Ovis aries: one gene and its partner. The protein of the gene in region 1 purifies or fractionates together with the protein of each later gene. This does not show direct contact. Links are inferred from orthologs where the notes say so. Each region holds a gene or a part of one and is shown on either strand. Other genes may lie near its edges.

Region 1 (7,193 bases):
CAGGAGATGGTGAAGTACAGGGAAGTCTGATATGCTGCAGTCCATGGGGCTGCAAAGAGTTGGACATGACTGAGTGACTGAATAACAACCAATTAACTTATAAATATAGATGTAGCACTTCCAAAAAAAGTTGATAAGTTGAATATATCCTAAAAAACTAGGATCAATGCTTAACTATGCAGCGCCTCAGGAGGCAAGCCATATCTATTCTATTTTTTTTTGTTTTTACTTTATTTTAATTTACAATACTGTATTGGTTTTGCCATACATTGACATGAGAGCCATATCTATTCTATTCTCTGTCTATGCCCATTAGACCCGGTGACCTGATCTCAGAGTTTTAAAACATTCTACAGCTAACAATTTTATATTTCTATCCTAGATCCCAGACTTCCACATTCAACAGCCTATTCAATATATCCACATGGACACTTGGATATCTTAATAGGTACCTCAAACCTAACATGTCCAAAACAAGTTAAAAATGTTACTTCCTGATCTGGTACCGGCCACCTCCACTTCTCTTCTCTACCTGCAGTCTTCTTCATTTCAGCCAAGGAGAACCTCAGTTTCATCACTCCAATTGCTTAGGCCAAACTCCTAGGGGCATCTCTCCCTCTCTGTTATGTAGGCTCTCCTTTCAAAATACATTCAGAATCCAACTACTTTTTCCAGCCTCCCCCAACACCATTCAGGTCTCAGCTATCATCATTTCTTGCCTGGATCACTGCATCAGCCTCCTAACTGGTCTTCCTGCTTCTGCCCTTGCCTCTCTTGAAAACCTCTTCTCAACAAAGTAATCCCATCAAAATCTAAGAGTGATCCTGTTAAAACAGAAGGAAGATCACTTTCACCTCTCTATTCAATATTCTCCAACAGTCTCCTCGTCTTACTTGTGCAGAAGCCAAATACTTACAAAGGCCTATGGTACCACAGTTGGCTTCATGTCTTAACTGATCCCCCTTTTTTCTCCTGCTGTGTACTCAACTGCAGGCTAGCTATGCTGGAATCCTTATGGATCTTTGAATACATAAGAAATGCTCCTGCTTAGGGTCTTTACACATGATGGAAATGTTCTTCCCTTAAGTAACTGAGTATCACTCTCTTATTTCCTTTGTTCAAATGTTACCTCAGTGAAGCCACCCTAACCACTCTTTGGATATTGGACACTTGACTCTCTGCCTACCGGCCCCAGGACTTAAGGGTCCCTCATTTAACATATTACATATTATTTCTATTTTAAAAATTGTCTTTCTCCTCCTTCCATAGTGGCAGAAGTTCTTGTTGCTTCTTTAAGCCTGTACCTTGCATAGCACCTTACTGATCTGAGTGTCTTGAGCAAGTACTCAAATCAGTGTTTGCCAAACGTATGAATGAACCAGTTTGGCAGTTTTAAAAACTGTTCTGCAGCGTTTTAAAATTAATCACTTCTATATAAGTACTTTAATTGCTCAGTTGAACTGGAATCTCTGCAAGAGGATGAAAAGCAATAGGAAAATGAGCATCAAAATCCAACACAATCCCGACAGAGCACCTTCTGCATATACCCATTATACTGGCCTCTGTAGCTCATTTTACAGCATGTCCAACTTATTTGGAGAAAAAATTTTTATATTTCTGGCAGTAAGTCTGTAGTCATATATGGCAATTTAAAACTTTAAAATAATTACTTCACTGAGATGTAATTCACATCACCCTTTTAAAACGTACAATTTAAGGTCTTTAGTATATTTGCAAGACTATGCAGCTATCACTAATGTCTAACTGCAGTATATTTTTATCCTTCCAAAAAGAACACTCACATGTATTACATTTCCTCCTCTCTTCAGTCGCTGCAAACCACTAATCTCTTGTCTCTATGGCTGTGCCTGTTCCAGAGCCTTCATAGTCGGCTGATCCTCATTATTTGAGGATTCCATATAGGTGAATTTACCTGTTCACTATAATTAATCTGTAACCTCCAAATCAATATGCTCAGTGCTTCTGTGGTCATCTATAAAAATCTGCAGAGAGGTGAAAAGCAGCGTACTATTCAGCATTCCTAAGGACAAGAAGGCTATGACATGCCTTATGGAGAAAATGTACTGGTTTGATAAGCCAAATTCAAGCATGAGTTACAGTGGCTCTAAGTCCAACATGACTGAATCATCAATATATATTAAAGTGTATTTAAACAGAAATAGATATAAAGCAAGGTGAGGTACTGATCAGTTAACAAAAATGTGACTTCCTCTAGAAGCAATGGTTCAGTATTTGTTAATTCAGTGTTTGCTGTGTTATAGAACCTAACTACCCTACCACAAATGAGGAATCAATCAACTGTAAAGGGAATCCGACAATATGTAATTTTTTATGCCTGACTTCTTTCACTTATCATAATGCCTTCAAGGTTCAATGCTGCATGTATCTGTACATCTTTCCCTTCATTAAGGCTAAATAACATTCCACTGTATGGATATACTGCTGCTGCTAAGTCGCTTCAGTCATGTCTGACTCTGTGTGACCCTATAGATGGCAGCCCACCAGGCTCCCCCATCCTAGGGATTCTCTAGGCAAGAATACTGGAGTGGGTTGCCATTTCCTTCTCCAAAGCATGAAAGTGAAAAGTCAAAGTGAAGTCGCTCAGTCATGTCTAACTCTTAGCGACCCCATGGACTGCAGCCTACCAGGCTCCTCCAACCATGGGATTTTCCAACCCAAATCTCTGTTACCTGATGAGTGAATAAACAAAAGTAGTATATATATATATATGCTGGAATCCTTAAGGATATACTATATCCTTAAGGATTCTTGTATATATATATGGATATACTACCTTTATTTATTCACTCATCAGGTGACAGACATTTGGGTTGTTTCTACCTTTTGGCTATTATGAATAATGCTGCTATGAACATTTGTGGACAAGTTCTTGGGTGAATATATACTTTTAATTCTCTTGGTTATTTACCTAGCAGAGGAACTGTCAAGTTACATGGTAACTCAATGTCAATTTTTAAGGAAACTGTCAAACTGTTTTCCAAAGTGCTATACCATTTTACATTCCCACTAGCAATGCACGAGGGTTCCAGTTTCTCCAGATTCTCACCAATATTTATCATTTTCTGCCTTTTTTATTACAGTCATTCTAGTAGGCATGAAGTGATTTTATAGAGGTTCTGATTTGCATTTTCTTAATAACTACTGATATATGGTAATGTAAAAGAAGGAAGGAAAAAGGGGAGGGAGGGAGAGTAGGAGAAGAAGAAGGGAGAAAGGGAGGAAGGAAAGGAAGGGAAAAAGAGAGAAAGAAGGAAAGCTGGAACTCTACCTCAGCTGCTGGAACATGAAACCGTTTAAAGTCTACTGACTTCATCTGTTTCTGGGGACCCTCACTCTTTTGTCTGAATGTGGGCTTTAACACTGCCATCTACCCAGCCTCCTCACAGAAGGGATCCTGCTTTCCTCTTTGTACCTGGGGGTACAAAGACCAAAGTTCAAAGTCAATAACCTGAAGCTTATATCTAGCGTCTCTTAATTCTACAGAAAACTGAGCAAATTCTTATTTATGTGCAAATTTAAGAAACAATACAGCTTATCAAAAAATTACAAACTCTTTAACCTAACACATTCGACTCAATAACTCAGAAGCAAATACTTTCTAGATATAGAGTGAGAGAAGAGACTGGGCTTTTGGGGTTGTTTTTTTGTTGTTTTTAATCAATTTTGTATCCTAAATCCTTGGCCAGTTCCTAGCACATGCAAGTTCTAAATTAATGATTTAAAGAAAATTATTTTCTGAAAGTAAGTTTAGTGTTTAACTGGTCTTACCCTCAAAGGATTTTCATTGAGGTATGGAGGCTCTCCTTCTACCATCTCAATAGCCATGATACCCAGAGACCAGATGTCTACTTTGGGGCCATAAGCTTTCCGTGTAACCACCTCTGGTGCCATCCAGTATGGCGTTCCAACCATGGTACTCCGCTTACTCTGCTCAGGGGTGATCTGGGCACAGAAACCAAAGTCAGCTACAAAACAAAAAAAATACAAAACATCTTGAGTTAATGGTGTTCATGGGTTGTCTTAGGAGTTTACTTCATATGACTTAATGAATTATACTTGAGTATTCAGTCTCTTAGTTTTTAAGAATGCATTAATAAAGTAAACCAGAATGGGCTTACAGATATTTTGATATTATACACTCTCACTTTTTAACTTTTACTTCCCAAAAAGAAGAAGGTAAATTATTAGGAAGGTTTTTATTCTAAACAATTAATTTTATCCTAAAACTTTTAATAAAGTTGAAAAAGATCTAAAAGAAAAAGTTACCAAAGCTGGACACCAAAACTGTGTCCACTGTCAATCAGGCAAAGGTCAGGAAGTGGACACTACTTTTGAAGAAAAAAAACAGAAGCTAGAATTAATAAGAAGCATATGAGTCAGTGAGAGAGTCTAGAAAAAGAACACATTTAACTACAACTGTACCCACAAGGTCTTCACCAGCATTACTCTATTCCAACCACCTCATTTTATAACTGAGGAGCAGGATACCTAATTTAGAACCCAGCGTTAATTCAGTAGGAAAGTCAAGATAAGAATCTAGAACCGTTTCCTTCCTTCTACTGTTAAACTCATTCTATTCCACATGTAAATACTGTTAACATTTAGGACTGTCAATTTGGGACTTCTGTTATACATTTCCAAATATACAAAAAATATCTACAAACTGATTGGTTTATTTTACTTAAATATTTCACTTAGGATACTTTGTAAATTGCTTTTTAAAACTATTTTTAGAGATCATTCTGTATTACTATACTAACCTACCTTATTATTGTAACTACACAACTTTACAGAACATAAAAATACCATAATGTATTTAACCATTTCTGTACTGTTAGATTATTTCAGATATTGTTGGTTTTCTTCACAAGGTTGTAGAGAACGTTTTTGTACTTATTGCTGTGCATATGTTCAGCAGTTCTATAGCAGACAGTCTTAAGAAGGCAATTGTTAGGTCAAATCATAACATTTATAGCTAAAATGAGTGCTTATAAAACTGTTTCAAGTACCTCATAAGAAAAAACATACCACATTTTAACTTTATGATAGGTACATTTATTATTATGACTTCCATTTTACAAATGGGGAAACTGAGGAACACCAAGGTCATTCATCTAGTGAGTGGCAGAGCCAGGGTAAAATATTATTAAAAAAGGTCAAATTTAGTTTACCTGTATATCCACCCAAAATGTATGAGAATATCAATTTCTAGCTTTCCCACTAAAATTACAATTATTAACTATATATTTTGACCATCAAATAGAAACTAAATCCTCATTCTTGTAGTTGAATAACCTCTGAAGGATTTTTTTTTCCCCCCCACTTTTTGGCTGGACTACAGAGCTTATGGGATCTTAGTTCCCCAGCCAGGGATTGAACTCACATCCCCTACATTGAAAGTGCAGAGTCTTAACCACTGGACCATCAGGGAAGGCCCTGAAGAATCTATTTTTAAAAAGAGATGTTGAAAAAGGAGCCAAATTCTCTAGGCAAACAGAAGAAATAGTTTTTGGTCGCCTAATCCAAGAAATGTCTTGCATTTTGCATAGTTGGAGAAACTTCAGTAGAAGTTCTTGAATCCTCCAGAAGGCATGGGTGGAACTGAGATTATAGCCAGCAGAGGAAGAGAGTTTTTTTTCCCCATGACTCTATCATGTCTGATACATGATAGAAAGGGGAAAGGGGTTTACAAACAATTTTCTTCCTAAAAGTGTCATCTCTGATGTCTGGGTCACACAGGCCTCTCCTAATTAGACCATCTACCAAATTCAAAGAAAGACGAACAGCATAATGAGAAAAATCTACCCCAACAGGTAGCAGAGACAAATCCAAGTTTACGTTTGGAAGACAGCACCAACATTACAATAGTACCAGGCACTGCTCCTCAGTGTTTTACATTTTTAGTACTCAGAAGAATTCTCTGAGATAGGTACTACTATTTTCCCTATACAAATGAGGAAACAAACATAAACAGATTATATGATTTCACCCAAAATTATTCAGCAAAGAGTAGTAGATCCACTATTTAAACTCAAGCTGTCCAGCTGATGGTCCATATCTTTTTACTGCTAATCTCCCCAACTCCATGTATTGTCATAAAAATGTTAATAGCAGGAAAAGAGTTTTTACTTAAAAGGCAGAAAATTGTAAGTAACATATAAATGTTATCTGTTCACTTGTTACTCACTAAGTTTAACAGATCCTTCCATGCCCAAAAGCACATTGTCACTTTTGATGTCTCTGTGGATCACTTGATTAGCATGTAAAAACTCCAATGCCTGTAAACACTGAACAGAAGAAAAACACCTATCAATGAAATAGTCCCTGAAAAGTCTAAGGGAAGTTCATATACACTACTTACCTGAGTACCATCTCTAGTATCTAGTAGAAGACACTCTAATAATACATTTACAGAGAAAAAAAATTCTGTCACACGCAAAGTTACAAAAATAAGACACTTTAAATAATTAGATCCTGCTCTTCCTACTCTGGTCTTATCCAGAAACAACTATTAAATAATGTCTTATCTAGTCTTATTTCTGCCACAGGTTATTTAATATCATAAGAATATCACTTAGTCTCCAATGTTCTCATTTATGAAATGAATGGGTGGGTCAATATGATTTCTAGGCCTGTTCAGGTTTAAATTGAATGTCTTAAGGTATGCAGCACTTGGTAAACATGCACAAGGCTTTTTAGATATCATTTCAACAGTAATGGGGACTTCCCAGCTGGTTCAGTGGTAAAGAATCCGCCTGCCAAAGCAGGAGCCACGGGAGATGCAGGTTTGATCCCTGGGTCGGAAGATCCCCTAGAGGAGGAAATGGCAACCCATCCCCGTATTCTTGCCTAGAGAATTTTAAGGACAGAGGAGCCTGGTGGACCACAATCCATGGGGTTGCAAAGAATCAGACGTGACTGAGTGACTAACACTTTCACTTTTCAACAGTAAAGGATAAACCTGTAATCATTCCTATCTGAATCTGAGATACTCAGAAGTCTAATCAATATAAGACACTGGGTAGTCTGGTTCTCTCCAGTTCTTCAGTGTGATGTAAAATGTTTTCTTCCTTTCTTCTATGGTGCTATGCTATGCTATGCTATGCTATGCTATGCTATGCTATGGTAGGTTTTACATAAAGCTATAGCCA
Region 2 (7,293 bases), on another chromosome or scaffold:
GGACTGGGGTGCACCCCCACCCCCTGGCATTTTGCCTTTTGCTGGGGAGGGACGGGGTTACAGGCCTTCCTCAAGCATTAGGGGGCGCGGGAAGGTGTGGCCTTCAGGCTTGAGTTTGAGTCCCGTGGAACGTGAGCAGGATCCAGATTCCAAGAAAAGAGTGACTGGTGGAAGGAGTCTTGAGAAAGGTGCGGGGCGTTAGTGTGCAGTGCCAAGGGTCATTGGAGCAACCAGAAATCTGGCATCTGAAATACTACGTAGGAGTCTTCCTGCCTTCTTTTAAAATTAAACTCCATCTTCTGCATTTGACTTTAGAAAGACGGTGTCTATTAAGGATGGGAGAACACACCCCTCCCCCCATACACTGCTGTCTGCAAGGACCTGAGTGGGGCTGCGCAGAGACTGCAGCAGGTGGCAGCTCCCCACCTCCACCCCGTGTGGTCCCCTCTGGAGAGGAAGCACTGGTTCCAAAGACTATCTCCTTCCTGAATAACTCCAGGGCAGAGAGATCTTTCCAGAAGGGTGCTTGCAGATGCCTCGATAAAAGTGGAATTGCCCTCCAGGGCAGCCTACTGCAGGAGCTAGAAGGACCTGGGGCTTGGCCCAGCCCCTGGAGGCGGGGAGGGACTGGGGTGTCCGAGGGAACCTGAATTCCTATTCCTCCTTACTAACTGCCTGACCTTAGGCAAATTGCTTAAATTTTCTCAGACCACTCATCTCTAAAATGTGTCTCTAATACTACCTCTTGGGGTTAGCTAAGGATGGCTACTGACCCGGAAATGATGCATCCCTCCCCTCACCAAGCCCACTGGGCCAGGTGGCGGGACCAGGCACTGCGCCTTCTGGAGCCCACCTTAGAACAAGACAGGAATCAGGGATTCCATACCAGCCCCACTTAGAACAATCCAAGAAGCGTTTGTGTGGGAGGTGCTAGCGAAAGCTTGCAAACTCTCCGTGCCTCTCTCAGGTTTCTTTGTGTGGTCTTCTCTTGTTCCTCCTCCACACCCTGCGGTGCCAGGCCCCGGCGCGGAACGATGAAGGAGGAGTGGACTGCCTCGCCCCTTTCTCCAGGCTGGGAGGAGCCAGTTGGCATCTCCCGCCGCCGGGGACCGCTGCCCACCTCCACCACGAGGGGTCACCAGAGTGCCGTGGCTGCAGCCGGAGTTGGGGAGGGGGCTGGAGCGGGGAAGGGACGGCCAGGAGTGGCCAGGAGAATGCCTGTACATTTCCTCATTAAATTGTTTTTTACAATCTTGTTGTGATCCTCTTTAACTGTCTTGCTTCCTGAGATGGCGAAGTCTCCAAAGGGAAATTTGGAAACCCTTTTATCCCTAAGCCCCAGGCCCAGAGAAGCTCGTCTGTGGCGGGGCTGGGGGCTTCGGGAACAAAGTTTGGAGAGTGGATCCGTGCTTCGGCCACTCCCCGGTAGTCCCAGGGCCAACCAGGAGATGGGGCTAGCGGGGTCGGGGGAACCGAGTGACTCATCCTTCTTCCTCTGAAAAGGCTTGGAGCTCAAGGAGGCGGGGAGCTCAGCCTGGATTGGGGGGCGGGGGGGGGGGGCGGCATCCTCTGGGCAGCCGGAGTTTCTCTTTTCGCTAAGTGGCCCTGGACTCTAAACCCAGGTCGCTTTTCCCCAGCCTGCGCGCTCCAGCTGCCACGTGCTCGAGACGCGCCCACACAGCAGAGAAACAAAGACAGCCAAGCAATGGGGCTGCCAGCAGCCGCCTCGACATTTAATAAATGAAATTCCATAGCTGGGGGTCGATCAGGGGTGAACGGGCGGCCACAGCTCGTGGGCTGGGCGCCCAGTAAGAGCGGCCAGGCCACTCCTCCCATCACCAGGGATGGGGCCACCAACCCCACGGACTGACTCCTCGGTGAGGGTGCGGCACGGGGCGGCAGGTGGTGCTCCCCACAACCCCACCCCACCCCGCGAGGTATCTGTGCTCGCAGAAACCCTGCCAGATGAGCGGCTGGCTATGGGGGGAGGGGATGCCTGCAAGATTTTTTTTAAAGGTGCGATTATAAATACACCCTGTGGATCGCAATCTCAAACAAACTTGTCAATCTGGGCTGCAGGGAAAGGCGATGGAGGCAGCTTTGCATATATTTCGGGTGGAGTGACTCATGAGCATTACTCGTCTCCCCCAGGGAAGCAGCCTGCCACCCACAAGTCACTGCTGCTCTGGCACCGCCGGGATAAAATGAGCCAACTCCAACACCCCTGCCCAAGGACTCCCCTCCAGCCCCCTTGCTTTTGAGCAGGACTCCTGGCCATGGGGAACCCTCCCCTAACCTGGGGAACCTGCCTTAATCGTGTCACCACTACCCTGGCCCTTGTGCCTGGACACCCTCGCCCTCTCCCAACAAACAGAGCGCTGGCCTTTTGCTGCTGCAGGGATGGGGGTTGGGTGCACGTGGGGCACACGTGTATGGGGGAGCATGCTCAGTGCAGGGGTGCACCCATGTGAGGCCTGCGCCTCCTCTCCCTGTCACCCCCACCCCTCCAATGAGTCTCTCCGTGAAGTCCAGGAAGAAAGACCACCACAGAAAGGATCCCTATATGTTATATGTCCACGCCCTAGACACACACTTCTGGTGGCTCAGAAATACCGTTGATGTACACAACACTGATACCAAGTGGATATTTCTGCACACAGGCACAGTGTTCACTCCTCAGGAGGTCTTCAAAAAAAAAAAAAAAAACCTGTCCATTCTTTTCTCTCTGGATGAAAGCATGGAGGACGGATAGATATCTTTTTAGCCCAGAGACTGGGGGATTCACTGCATGACCTCTGGTACCTGGCCGTCCATATTGTTGGCGGTGGGCTAGTCAGCAAGAGTGTGACCACACACACACACCTGGACACACAAATGTGGATACACGGGAGGACCGGAACGCACAATTCAACCCAAACAGACAAGCGGGTACCTCGAACCACAGCCCCTGGATAAGGGGGGCCCGGGGCCTCCAGCTCCTCACTCTTCTCAGATGCCCAAGGGTCACTGTCCCTGGGCCCGAGCTCCTCAGGCCACCCTCAGCCTCGAAAATGAAGGGGACGAGGCTGTGAGGCGAACTCGCAGCGTCTTGGCGGCAGGGGCGCACCTAGGCCCGGGCCGCAGGCGGCGCTGCGCGCTCGGGCCTGGCGGTGGCGGCCCCTTTAAGGGCCCCCGCCCCCTTCCGCCCGCGCTCCCGGCTTCCTTTCTCCGGGAGGAGCGGCGGGCTGGGCCCGGCGGCGGGGCGGGTGTGCGGGCCGCCCCTCCCCCGGTGGGCCGGGCCTGCGCCGCTTCCTGCAGGAGCGGCCCGGAGCCGCGCAGGGGGCGGAGAGAGCGAGCGGCGGCGGGGCGGCGCGGGGCGGCGCGGGGCGGAGGGCGCCCGAGGGCGAGCGGGCGGGCGGGCACGGCGGGTTCCGGGCCAGCCCCGGGGGCGGACGGTTGGCCGGGCGCGCGGAGCCTAGCCGGGGCCTTGCCGGAGCCGGGCCGGGCAGCAGGGGCCGCCGCCGCCCGGGCCCGCCGCCCGCGCCCCCCACGCTGGCCCAGAGGGCTGCGGCCGCGTCGCCGCTGAGGATGTCCCGGAAGGGGCCGCGAGCGGAGGTGTGTGCGGACTGCAGCGCCCCGGGTAAGCGGGGCCGGGCCGGGGGCGGGACCGCGCACCGAGGCGCCGCCGGGCGGGCGCCGGGGCCTGGCGGGCGCGCCGTGCGGGGCCGGAGGGCGGGGCGGGGCTGGGGGCTGCGGCCTCCGGTCTCGGCCCCCGCCCGGGCCGCTGCGGAGCCGCGTCCTTGGAGGGAGGGCCGCTCAGGGGGCCGCGGTTTGCTCGCGTCCGTGGACCAGCGAGGAAGGACATTCCCGGCGCCGCCTCCCGCCCCTCAGCTGGCGCCCCCCCCCCGCCGCCCCCCCCGCCTTCCATCTCTGGGTCCAAACGGAAGCGCCAGCCTAGGGTGGCCAGGAGGACTGTGGCGGAGGCCGGCCGGGCTTCGGAGGTGGGGGCGAGTGTGGTTTTGTGTCATCGCAGGGCCACCCCCGCGTCTTGCACCTGCTGCTCTCCTGGTCTGCGCGCCCGCAGGGGTGGCGGAGGGCAAGGGGCAGAAAGCCGGGCAGATGGGCCGGCGTGGGGTGGGGGTTGTCTGGATTCTGTTTTCTCGGGAGCAGACGGCGGGGTGGCTGCTCCTAGGACTCCCTGCCCCTGGCTCCCAAGGCTCCTCGCAAGGCCTGGTGTTCAGAGCCACCACAAGCTTGGGCATCGTCCCCTGAGGCGTCCCCAGGCCTGGTAACGGGACAACGAGCCTCAGCTTTTCCTGTGCTCCAGTAAGGCCTGCTTGGAAGGTGGCTTGGCCATACCCCAGCCTGGGCACAGACCTCTCTCCCTGTCCCCTAGCCCAGCCTTACCAGAAATGGGTAGGGAGCATGTGGAGGGGTGCCTACATTCCCGGGACCCACCTGGCTTTGTGGCCTGCCTCCCGGCTGTATTTTCCGTGCTGTTTCCCTTCTTCCCACCAAGTCAGGTCCAGGCTGATGTGAAACCCCCCTGACCTGCCAAAGAGGTGAGGAGAAATGACCCGGAAAGGCTGCTCCCTTCTGATGTGGGGGGACACTACCAGTGATCGGACTCTGCAGCTGCCTTGGGGAAAGGGGAAGCCCTGGCCCTTGACCATCCTCTCTTTAGAAAAGGAGCTATCTCCCTGGGAGACCTCCGGGCAGGCTCAAGGGGGATCCATGAACTCCAGGAGGACTCTGGGCACAATTAAGTGGAGAGTGTGGGCTGCTGTTTTGTGGCCCATCACTTCCTGCTACCCTTTGGACAGGCCCAGGGCTTCCCTGGTGGCTCAGTGGTAAAGTATCCACCTGCCAATGCAAGAGACCTAGGTTCAATCCCAGGGTCGGAAAGATCGCCTGGAGAAGGAAACGGCAACCCCCTCCAGTATTCTTGTCTAGGAAGTCTCATGGAGAGAGGAGCCTGGCGGGCTACAGTCCATGGGGTTGCAGAAGAGTCGAACACAACTGAGAGAGGACCCCAATAGGTTGAGACCCACAGATGCGCTGGTGGTTTCAGTGGCTCCAAGCTTGAGTGTTTGGGCACTGTGGGATCCCAGGAGGTGCATGGTGGTCTGGGTGGCTGTGACCCTGAGGCCTCCTCTCAGGGCATGTCATGGTCTCTTAGAGGTCCCTGAGGAAGCTGTGTGTCCAGGGATGTGGGGTGTCCTTACCTCTGGTTAGTTAGAAACTACTATTTCCTTACCCCCAACTGCAGGCAGGTCTGGGGGATTAAGCGCTAAGAGGAGAGCTTGCCTTCTGTGTGTTGGTCCAAGGCTGTTCTGCCCCTCTGCCGGGCTGCCCCTCTGCCCCGCGGAAGGAGGGAAGGAGCATTGGTGGGTTGGGAAGGTGTGGCTGGGAGGGGGTTGCTTAACAGACACTTTATCATGGAAACCTGGATTTTTGTGTTGCCTTTGTTTCTAGCTTACTCTCTGACTCATGGCAAGAGTTTTCTCATGCTGAGTCTCAGTTTCCTCAACTCTGAGGCCAAGAAGTTGGAGTAGGAATGGTTTTTGAGGACCATCCCATCTCCAGTCTGCGGTCCTGATTCTGGGCAGGGGGACGCAGGGCAGCGTTAACAAGGCAGTTGTCCTTTCTCCATTGCCTTTGACTACTTGATTGGAAGCCTCTGGATGCCCGTTGGGCATGGGCAGGAGTGGTGTGTCTCTCATGTGTTGGGGTGCCTGGCTCCTATCCCTGGTCCTCATCCCACAGAGTCCTGTGTGCTCCTGGGAACCTCCCCACCCCCACCCCACCCCCGGGCCCCGATCCAGAAAGCAGGTCAGGAGGAGGCAGGTGCTGAGGTGAGGATGTGAGGCGTGCAGGGTGCCGATAAAGTCTTGCTCACCCCAGCACCCAGCATGGTTTCTAGCACAGAGCAGGCATTCCCCCAAGGGATTGGAGGCTTCTCAAGACCCTGACTTCTCCTTGGGGCATTTTTCAGTCTGGGACCTGTAACAGCCCAGGTAAGAGGCTGGAGAGAAACTAGCAGTTTGGAGCCCAGGCCCAAAGCCCCCTCATTGGTGTGTGGTTCCTACCTGAAGTCGTAGGCCTCTCACTGTATTCGGAGCCCTGCAGACCCAGCCCTGGGAGCGGGGTTGTTGTCTCTTTGTGAGTGGTGAATTTGCGGGGTCTTGAGGTAAAAGGTGAGATGAGCCTGACGCCAAAGAGCCCCATCCTCCTCCCAGGCCTGGGTGCATGAGACAAATCTTGAGTGTGTTGTGAGCGTGGCACGGCTGCCAGCCCTGGCGGCTGGTGCTGTCTCGCCAGGCACCGTCTGTGACCCTGCCTGCCTTGGGAACCATGGAGGATGTGTGTCTCCCCTGTCCCGCCCGTCCACTCCACCTGCCGCACAGCCGGCTCATCTCTAAGGGCGTGCGTGTGGCAGCCCGCGGGCTCGGGCAGCCCCTGGCACAGACGTGAAGCCCTCACAATGCCCATCTTAACAGGCATCTTGAGTGAGCAAGGCTGGCCACCAGCTAAAGGTGTCTGGGAACCTGCAATTTCATTTGTCTCTTCATGATGTAAATTGTGGGCCGGGGTGAATGCTGAGCTTTTTGCTTTCACTGAGGTGTAGCTTATGTACCCCTGGAAAAGGAAGTGGCAACCCACTCCAGTATTCTTGCCTGGAACATCCCATGGACGGAGGAGCTGGTTGGGGGGGGATGCAGGGGGGACCTATAGTCCATGAGATCGCAGAGAGTCAGACACGAGTTAGCACACACTCACAACTTCTGTACAACAAAGTGCCTGTACCCTACTCTGTAGCCTGATGAGTCTTTACCTGTATACATACATAACTCTGTAGCCACAACTTGAATCCAGAAGTAGAGCGATCCAGAAGTAGAGCCCGTGCAACACTCTAAAGGGCTTTCTGTGTCAATGCCCGCACTGCCCCCCCCCCCCGCCCTGGCCCCCACAGGGAACCGCCACTGTGACCTCTGTCCCCATGGAGTAGATTACTCTTGCCTGCTTTCAAGATGATGGGCTTGTCCCTCTTGCCCAGGTGCCGAGATAGGAAAGGCTGGCCACTGGCTCCAGAGACCACTGGTGGCTTTGGGTGGTGGTATGAATTCCCCTCAGTAGAGGCGACCATGGGCTTGGTGCTGCTTCGCATTATTCCAGGACTCCTGCCACCTGGCACACAACACGGGACCCCTGCACCCCAGCCCCACTGGGAAACTTGGCAGATGTTGAGGAGGTGGCCGCACCCCCTAACCCTCACGTTCCCTGTCCTTTCTGCCCCGAGTTTGGTCCTGGAAG

What was found. The genes of interacting proteins can lie anywhere in the genome.
Region 2: the proteins of PAK2 (region 1) and GIT1 purify together in Homo sapiens (affinity purification with mass spectrometry; 5 studies listed by BioGRID and IntAct, with this or other methods). This does not show direct contact. The link is inferred for Ovis aries from reciprocal best matches to the Homo sapiens genes PAK2 and GIT1.

The regions. Positions count from the first base shown.
Region 1 is NC_056054.1:192,138,808-192,146,000, reverse strand, and holds part of PAK2 (serine/threonine-protein kinase PAK 2), read right to left. Parts: intron 6,330-7,193; coding exon 6,230-6,329; intron 4,008-6,229; coding exon 3,811-4,007; intron 1-3,810. UniProt on the Homo sapiens protein: Serine/threonine protein kinase that plays a role in a variety of different signaling pathways including cytoskeleton regulation, cell motility, cell cycle progression, apoptosis or proliferation.
Region 2 is NC_056064.1:20,779,502-20,786,794, reverse strand, and holds the start of GIT1 (ARF GTPase-activating protein GIT1), read left to right. Parts: upstream 1-3,367; 5' UTR 3,368-3,567; coding exon 3,568-3,619; intron 3,620-3,642; exon of another isoform or gene 3,643-4,541; intron 4,542-7,293. UniProt on the Homo sapiens protein: GTPase-activating protein for ADP ribosylation factor family members, including ARF1.